2 linked regions of the Bombyx mori genome follow. The main gene of each other region encodes a partner of the protein of the gene in region 2 in a complex. Links are inferred from orthologs where the notes say so. Each region holds a gene or a part of one and is shown on either strand. Other genes may lie near its edges.

Region 1 (3,920 bases), on a different chromosome or scaffold from region 2:
GAAAACTTGGGTTTCGTAAGGGATAAACGCCTATTTCGATATTATCTTAATGGTGTTGATGCATTGCGGTTGAAGTTGTGGCTAAGGTGAAATAAGTAGCTAACCGATGAGATTTCTCAATTTTGTGTTTAAATAACTTGCAATATGCAGTATTGAGTATATACATAAAATACTACTGTTTATATTCTTATCTATTGTGCAACATATTGCCATCTATGTGGATCTAGCCAAATGTAGTGTTTATTTCTCATTTTAATTCAAAATCATGTGATACATTGTATGTAATTTATTATAATTTTTTTTCTCAAATACTGTTTAATGATAAAATCTATTGTAACAAAAATAATGAAAACAATCGAAAATTTAAAAACACAAATTGAAAAATTTTTTTAGTCTCTAATTTTGTTTATGATTTCCCTCTATTGATGTTATTTTTTTCAAGTTTAAAGATGAATCTTAGATTTCTAAAAAATTCTGTAATAAAACAGATCGATTCAAAACACAATTAAAAAGTTTTAAATGATGTCTTTTTTATCTATACCTTATCAACAAGCTTAAAAAACATAGGTACTCCAATTTGAAAATGTATTTTTTTTGGACTGGGATAGGTAGTAAAACCAATAGAATATTTATTGGTTTTATTTGCTAGTAATAAAATGGTATCCAGCAGCTATAAGAATTTAGAATTCAAATGTTGCCGTATTTGTAGAAGCTCCATCATAAATAAATGTATTATTTACAGGTTTATATTGCTTGGTTATAATTTTAATGGCTTCATGTGCAACACATCCACCTAAAAAGGCAGACACACTATGTATCTCGGCTCCCCCATAGCGACACATTTCGTGGATATGATCATCTTTAGGAAATGGAGAACAAGATATATCACCTAAAAGTTTATTTACACAAGTTTTTAGCTTAGCAATGTCACCTTCTGGTTCCCAATCACCGGGAGCTCGGCAGTGCTCTGATCTAAACATACCAGCTGCCCGAAGCATAATATAGTGAACCATCATGACATCTGGCTCCTCTAAATATGTGGCTATATAGGATGCAACAGAATTTCCCAGTTGAAGTTCTGTTGCCACACAAGACCCCTTCACCAAATATAAATCATGAGCATGTCTGCAGAATAGTTTAACATCTGCCTCACTAATACTATCACAATGCAATTGAGTGACTATCTGTCGAACTTTTCTATAGACTATTTCTGCATCATTTGCAGCTTGCATCTTGTAAATGTTTTGAAGTTTTACATAATGTTCTGTAGAGGCCGTCATATCAGGTAAGATTCCTTTCACTGGAAGTTTTCCCTTCCCTTCAGCCTCAACAAATGCTCTTAAGGCAGAGCACATAATCCAAAATGATGAACTATCCTTAGTTAAATTTGTGGCAGCACTATTATACATAAGTTTTGAGATATTCTTAGGCAAAAATGTAGGCATCAAAGCAGTGTTAACAGCTCTTATTGCTTCCTCAAAATTCTCTTCATTAATTGGTATTCCATTTTCATCTTTTCTAATGAAATCCCTTATTATATTTTTTATATCTTCTTTATCATTTCGCGTTACAGGCCATTTATTGTTATTGTTAATTTTCCACTTTTGAACAGCTTTATAAAGAATTATAATCCAAGGAATGTGACCATGATCTTTCAAATCAAGAGCATCAATATCAATACTTTCCAGATGTTCTAACAATGACATAAATGGTTCATCTAGGCGCAGATCTGTTTGTTCATTATCAGGATGAGTTTCAGTAACAGCATGTTCCCGAATCTGAATTCTTAAAGACCCTAAGAATCCAACTGATTGGCAAAGTATAAAAGGAACATTTATATCCCACAGGTGTTGAGATAAACTTTGCGTTACTTTTTCACTTATTGTAGTAGCTATCACTAAACTGAATGATTTAAAAAAGTCTGGGTTCTCATCAAGTATCTGGTCAGGTGGTTCTTGGACTGCATGACCTTGTACTGCTGGATTTAATTCTAAAACAAGCCTTAACGCTTCGGATCCTCTGTTAAGACCTTTGCTAGACATTTCCAAAAAGAAATTACTGCCTATATCTTCATCACTAACTGTGCAATCATCAACTATAGTAATTGCACCAATTCCTGGAAGAACTATCGATTTCAATATTTCAGTACCCAAGGCAGTAGCATTAATTAAACATATGTGTCCGCTTTCAAGAGCACTTTGTCCGTGATCACCCCACAAACGAAGTTGCCGGTCGTACTGTTTATTCTTCTCGCTTTGTTCTGGTGATTTAGGAGATGGAGACGCCATAATATAAAACGTCAATAAGCAAAAGGTTTACTTTTGAGATTAAAACCGATTTTTATTATTATGAAATTTATAAATGCAGTGATCAGTTACACAAAACCTAGTCGAAATTGGCTGAATTTGAACGTTAGTTTTGCATAATTTTGGTACATTTCATGGTTGGTTACTGACATGACGAAATGTCAATTGGGCTAGAATAAGTAAAAGTCGTTTGTATAATGCAAGAAAGAAAGAGGTATCATACCATACAGCCTTATCTTACACATCTTACACAGTCACATTAGAGCCGAAGTCGTATGATGTGTGATTATCTGAAATTGAGTAAAGTGAAATGACTTAGGTACTAAATTGTTCCACCTATAAGACAAACTTGATGATATAATAAATTGATAAAATTATCTCACTTGCTAGTTTCTATAATGGCTTCCCAACAAAATTAGGTAGCTTTTTTTGCGGCATATTTTGTAGATTCTACCTTGAAATGAATTTAAAATATGCATATAGTTATAATATCTTAATTTTTACCATTTTCACTTTTTTTCTTTTTTTATTGCCTTTGTAGGCAGACGAGCATACAGCCCACCTGATGATAAGTGGTCACCGTCACTCATGGACGTCAGCAATGCCAGGGGCAAAGCCAAGCCACTGCCTACAAACTTTCCAGTTAGACGTCGAATTTTAGGACACCTTGTTTATTATTTTGGTTTTAATTACTTTCATTATTCTGCCATATTGTACTTGAGCCACGACGACTTCTAACTCTCAATTTTCTTTTTTTTTTTATTCGTTTTACAGTCACATTTCGTCAAAACAGTCATAATAACCATATTAGTCGCCCTTTAGTTACGAACATATTATGTATATTATATATTATTAAGTCTTATGGCTATGACTTTGGACTACGAAATAGTTTGATGTATGGCTTTGTTCTCTTTGCATGTCTCGGGAACGAAAAAAAAATCTTTTAGTTTGATTATGTGTGTTGACAAAAGCTTCAAATTGCAAACGTCAAAACTTCAAGAAGCAAAATTGAAATTAATTCCATTTAATAAAACAAAAGTGTTGTTATTGGATAAAGAAAATTAGGATTTAAACCTTTCGAACCTTGTTTCTTTATGAAATGTTTATAATTATTATAAGCTATACGAATGTGTTTTGAAATGAATTTACAGACATTATTTCAAGACTTTAACCCCAGGTAGTTTTTATGTTGCTCACATAATTAATCGAGTCAAAGTGAAGGTGATTTTCGTTCTATGTTAATTGCACAATTGTTTGTTACAGCAAATTCGTCATTCACACTTGTCTTCTAATATTTACTGCATTATTAGCGCTGAAGTTAGATAAAACCATAACATGGTCATATTGGGCAGTATTTACTCCAATATGGATTTGGAAATTTCTTGTCGTGCTCGGGGCCACTATTGGGACTTATGTGTGGTGGCAGTATCCTCACTTCAGGTAACACTAAATTTCATCCATAAATTTGAAAAAACGCTAAATTAATCAAGGTAAATCAAAGTTTGTCACAAACTTAATCAAGCTAGTTAAGATGATTGTTGACTTTAATGTAATGTATTAAACATATTTGTGCATAGATAAGTACAACCATCCTGTTAATAGTATACTTTTCAT
Region 2 (4,010 bases):
CTGAGTAAGGCATAGTCTGGGAGTTCATTTTCTTCATTGGTTTGTCCATTGCCTCTATTGTTTGATTTGCTTTTATCTTCTTTTCCCTTTGATTTTGTATTCACTTTGTTACCAGCCATGTTACACCTAACAATTACAATTTAATGACTTTATCACAAGACATTTACAAAGGTAAGTTTGATTTGATAGCAACATAAATATGAACTGTTATAAAATACTGTAGGTACCAACAGTATATTTCGTGTGATACTGATCAGTTTTACGGAAATCACCAATGTGATATTTATTTCAATTATGCACTGAACTCACTGAATTTAAAATGATATGTTTGACAACAGATATTTTTCCTTCATCTTTATATCCGCATGGTTATATTGCAAGCAACACTCGACTTCAAAATGTTCGCAGTCTCTCCCTCAATTTTAGAGGATATTTCGCGGTTTGTGGTCACAAATCTTATTCCAATAAATATTCTAAATACTGCAGATACCGAAACCAGTGCTGAAAGGTTTCAACTTACCCTAAAAACCTCACTACCGCTAACTTGAAAATTGAAGACCTGCGACAAATTCACATCCATCACGCCTCCATTTTCAACAAATGAATGGCACCAATAGAACGTAATCAGGTTTGAATGATTCGACTATAGAATGTAAATTTTTGAACGTAGATTTATTTTTACATAGGTAATTACCTAACTAGTTTGGAGTTTTCATGAGAGAATAAAATTGATCAACATGCTTTTTTTTTAAATATTTTTGTTGATTGGTTTTGTGTCTATTTTCTTTGATTAGCTGATATTAATGTCTCTAGTTGCTCTTTGCAGACAGAGTATGCAATTTATTGGTATTCAGAATTGAGCGTATACCGCTTGAAATAACTAATTTATGGCTTTCGAAGATTGGTAATAGTTTATTTGGATGTGTATAGGTATATCCGATATAACAAGGAAGTTAACTACATACTAATTAAAACCCATTATTTTAAATGCATAAAATCGTGAATCCCGTGTGTATGTGTATTAAATTATGTTTAAAAGTATTTTAAGCCCTAATTCTGGAATCTAGTATATTTGCATTTTCTTTTACTTTATTAATAAAAGTAAAGTTTAATACCTCTATTGAATACCAACATATTACCTAACCATTTGAATTTGTTGGAGTGGACTGATCTTTTACCACAAAAACAGTGCTACCATAAGTAGACAGTACGCGTGAGCTTCGAGGTCCCTATACCCTTCTCTATTTAGTATGAGAAAAAAAGCGCTTGTCACCGGCCATCTAAATATTATATCTGCATAAATCCAAATTTGATCACGTTATTATAGTTCAGTGATTTATCTTGGAGGTAAAGAATATTAATCTATTTAAAAACTCCTTTGAGTTTGGATGTCAACATTTGGGTATTTAAAAAGTCAGTAGTAATACTTAATTCTGATTCATGATTCATTCATTACACTGTGATTTACTCGCGATAGTTATTTTCAGTGACTCGCAATAGTCGATGTGACATATGTTCATCGACTAAATTATAGGCACGATGCCTTTCGCCTTAAGTTGCGATTTATAAATGAAGGAATACTTCCGCAGTAACTTTTTCTTTATTACGTTTTAAAATTTTAATCGTTTTTTTTTATGTTTCGATATTTGACGAGAAGCTTCATGGATTAAAATCTATTTACCGGCCCAATTGGCCAAATCAATTAAATTATTAGTGTTTTCAATGAACTTTAAACCTTCAACACATGTAGCACAGATATGTATTAACTGGCGAAATACTATTACTACTATTACTTATTGTACTACATGGTATACTCTTTGGTCTATGAAAATAAGGCGATTAGGATTTATAAATATTTAACCGCAAAGTTAAAAAAATTAACAGAAAAAGTACACCTACCTACCTACTACATACATACCTCTTCTAGGTAGGTATCATACTTATTGCCATAATTATATTTATTTATTGCACTAAAACTTATTGGAAATAGAAATAGGTACGTACATAATTATAGTATTTTGAAAGAATACTAAATCATTAATTACAAATCTATATAAAAATAATAAAATGAAAGTAATAAATACATCTCTTATTGCTAATTATTGAATATTCGTTTTGATTAGCTGCATATTACTGAAGTACACACAAGTGTGGTTTAAAAGAATAATATCTCAGTTCTTTCAATGTGTATGTATTTAAATAGTGTAATGTATTTATTTTTCAGTCATAATGACTTCAGAATCTCAAACGGCTGATTATCAAAATAGGAGATGGCAACATATAAGGAAGCTGCTGGAAAGATCTGGTCCTTTCTGCCATCCAGATTTTGAAGCTTCAGCAGAAATTCTAAATTTCATCATGAACTGTTGTAAAGTTCTCATTGTTGGGGCAGGTGGTCTTGGTTGTGAATTATTGAAAGATTTAGCCTTAATGGGCTTCAAAAAGTTACATATTGTAGATATGGATACAATAGAACTATCAAATTTAAACCGGCAATTTTTGTTCAGAAGAAATGATATTGGCCTACCTAAAGCTAAATGTGCTGTGGAATTTGTCAATAAAAGGTAAAAATGTAATTGTGATGAGTAGAGTTAGTGTTTAATTGAATGTTATCAATGTACAGTAATTATTATTTACATTATTAAATAAATACATAAAGTTACACACTTGCAAATAGTAGGGGTCCCTGAAGTAATTATCTATTATCCCATTATGATAATTGTTACGTTTTCTATATGAACGTTCATCATTTTGTGAAATCTTGATAAAAAGGATGAATAATGGGGGAAGTCTATACACGATGTAGGAGGCGATGGATGTATGAATTCAAAAGTAAGGATTCCCTGACAGGAAGTAGATTTTCAACATTTTCCGAAATAAGTGGTTACATAAACTAGACTGAAGTGCATCCAAAGTAGTGAAAACAGTGTTAGTACTTTTATTCCCATGTCATAAATCTTACCTTTGATTTTAATATTCTGAAACACGTAAATTTTATTATATTGCTCTTGATAGTGTTACATTTAAATTGTTGATTGATTGATGTTGATTGTTGTTGCTTCCCGAAGCAAGGCCAGGGCGGGTCGCTAGTCTATACTAGAACTGTAATTTATTATTGATTATCAAAATAAGTTGGCAGATTTCTTTCCTACTTACTTGACACTTATCATTATATTTTTGTAATTCACACTATATCTTTATAAATTATTATAGTCAATGTCAACTATATTATTGTAAAGTTTCATCAAAATCCATCAAGTAGTTTTTCGGTGGAAGAGTAACAAACATACATTCTTACAAACTTTCCGTTTGTAATATTAGTAGGATCTGTGTTATATATTTTTATTAACATCTCCAGTAAAGCATTGATGATGGCACAAACATTATACAATATTTATCTCCTAAGCAAACCAAGTTTGTGGTTTCAATTCCTATTTGGCATTTTTGAACATGCATTTTTAAGCTAAGACAGACACCCCCAGCCACACCACACTGTGGGCACTGTGCTTCAGCTGGTTTTTTTTCCATTATTGAGACAATTTATCTGGTATTTGATATCATTTAAAATGAAATTAAATATATTTGCCAATATATTTTTTTCTTAAATTGTAATCATCATACACTTCTTCTTCTTCTTCTTCTCAGTCATGTCACTCTTGACAGAGTGGTCGTGATCGTCATGTAGTGTTACTCTTATTTTACTTAAAATGACAGTTGTTGTAATTTTTGTTGAATAAATTTTGTTGTTTTGAACTTTGGTATTTCTTTTCATTACAGAGTTCCTGGGTGTGAAGCTGTAGCTCACCACTGTGCCATTCAGGACCTTGATGAAGATTTTTATAGACAATTTCACATTGTTGTTTGTGGGCTTGACTCAATTATTGCTCGGAGATGGCTTAATGGAATGCTGGTATCCTTGTTGCAGTACAATGATGACAGTAATAGTTTATTTTCTTAAAGTTCTTGGTAGTAGCTAGTGTTTTATTTACTGGCAGAGTGTGTATCTTGAG

What was found. Proteins that work in one complex are often made in the same cells at the same time.
Region 1: the proteins of NEDD8-activating enzyme E1 catalytic subunit (region 2) and NEDD8-activating enzyme E1 regulatory subunit are in contact, whole or in part, in a crystal structure (PDB 3DBR), measured with the Homo sapiens proteins. The link is inferred for Bombyx mori from reciprocal best matches to the Homo sapiens genes UBA3 and NAE1. Residues at the interface, in NP_003959.3 of Homo sapiens: Trp34, Glu35, Gly36, Arg37, Trp38, Asn39, His40, Lys43, Phe44, Glu46, Arg47, Ser48, Gly49, Pro50, Phe51, Thr52, Phe56, Glu83, Lys86, Asn87, Leu90, Ser91, Val106, Ser107, Leu109, Asn110, Arg111, Phe113, Leu114, Arg116; in NP_003896.1 of Homo sapiens: Glu10, Gln11, Lys12, Tyr13, Asp14, Arg15, Gln16, Leu17, Arg18, Leu19, Trp20, Asp22, Glu44, Lys47, Asn48, Leu51, Pro52, Gly67, Glu68, Ala70, Gly71, Asn72, Asn73, Phe74, Phe75, Gln77, Arg78, Ile81, Phe92, Glu95.

Annotation. Positions count from the first base shown.
Region 1 is NC_085124.1:7,692,890-7,696,809, forward strand, and holds NEDD8-activating enzyme E1 regulatory subunit, read right to left. Parts: upstream 2,510-3,920; 5' UTR 2,289-2,509; coding exon 681-2,288; 3' UTR 510-680; downstream 1-509. Other genes in the region: N-alpha-acetyltransferase 30, read left to right, coding at 1-90; transmembrane protein 185B, read left to right, coding at 3,434-3,483, 3,570-3,746. UniProt on the Homo sapiens protein: Regulatory subunit of the dimeric UBA3-NAE1 E1 enzyme. E1 activates NEDD8 by first adenylating its C-terminal glycine residue with ATP, thereafter linking this residue to the side chain of the catalytic cysteine, yielding a NEDD8-UBA3 thioester and free AMP.
Region 2 is NC_085115.1:7,048,251-7,052,260, forward strand, and holds the start of NEDD8-activating enzyme E1 catalytic subunit, read left to right. Parts: upstream 1-1,203; 5' UTR 1,204-1,347; intron 1,348-1,434; exon of another isoform or gene 1,435-1,996; intron 1,997-2,224; 5' UTR 2,225-2,229; coding exon 2,230-2,564; intron 2,565-3,777; coding exon 3,778-3,938; intron 3,939-4,010. Other genes in the region: uncharacterized protein LOC101738796, read right to left, coding at 1-119. UniProt on the Homo sapiens protein: Catalytic subunit of the dimeric UBA3-NAE1 E1 enzyme. E1 activates NEDD8 by first adenylating its C-terminal glycine residue with ATP, thereafter linking this residue to the side chain of the catalytic cysteine, yielding a NEDD8-UBA3 thioester and free AMP.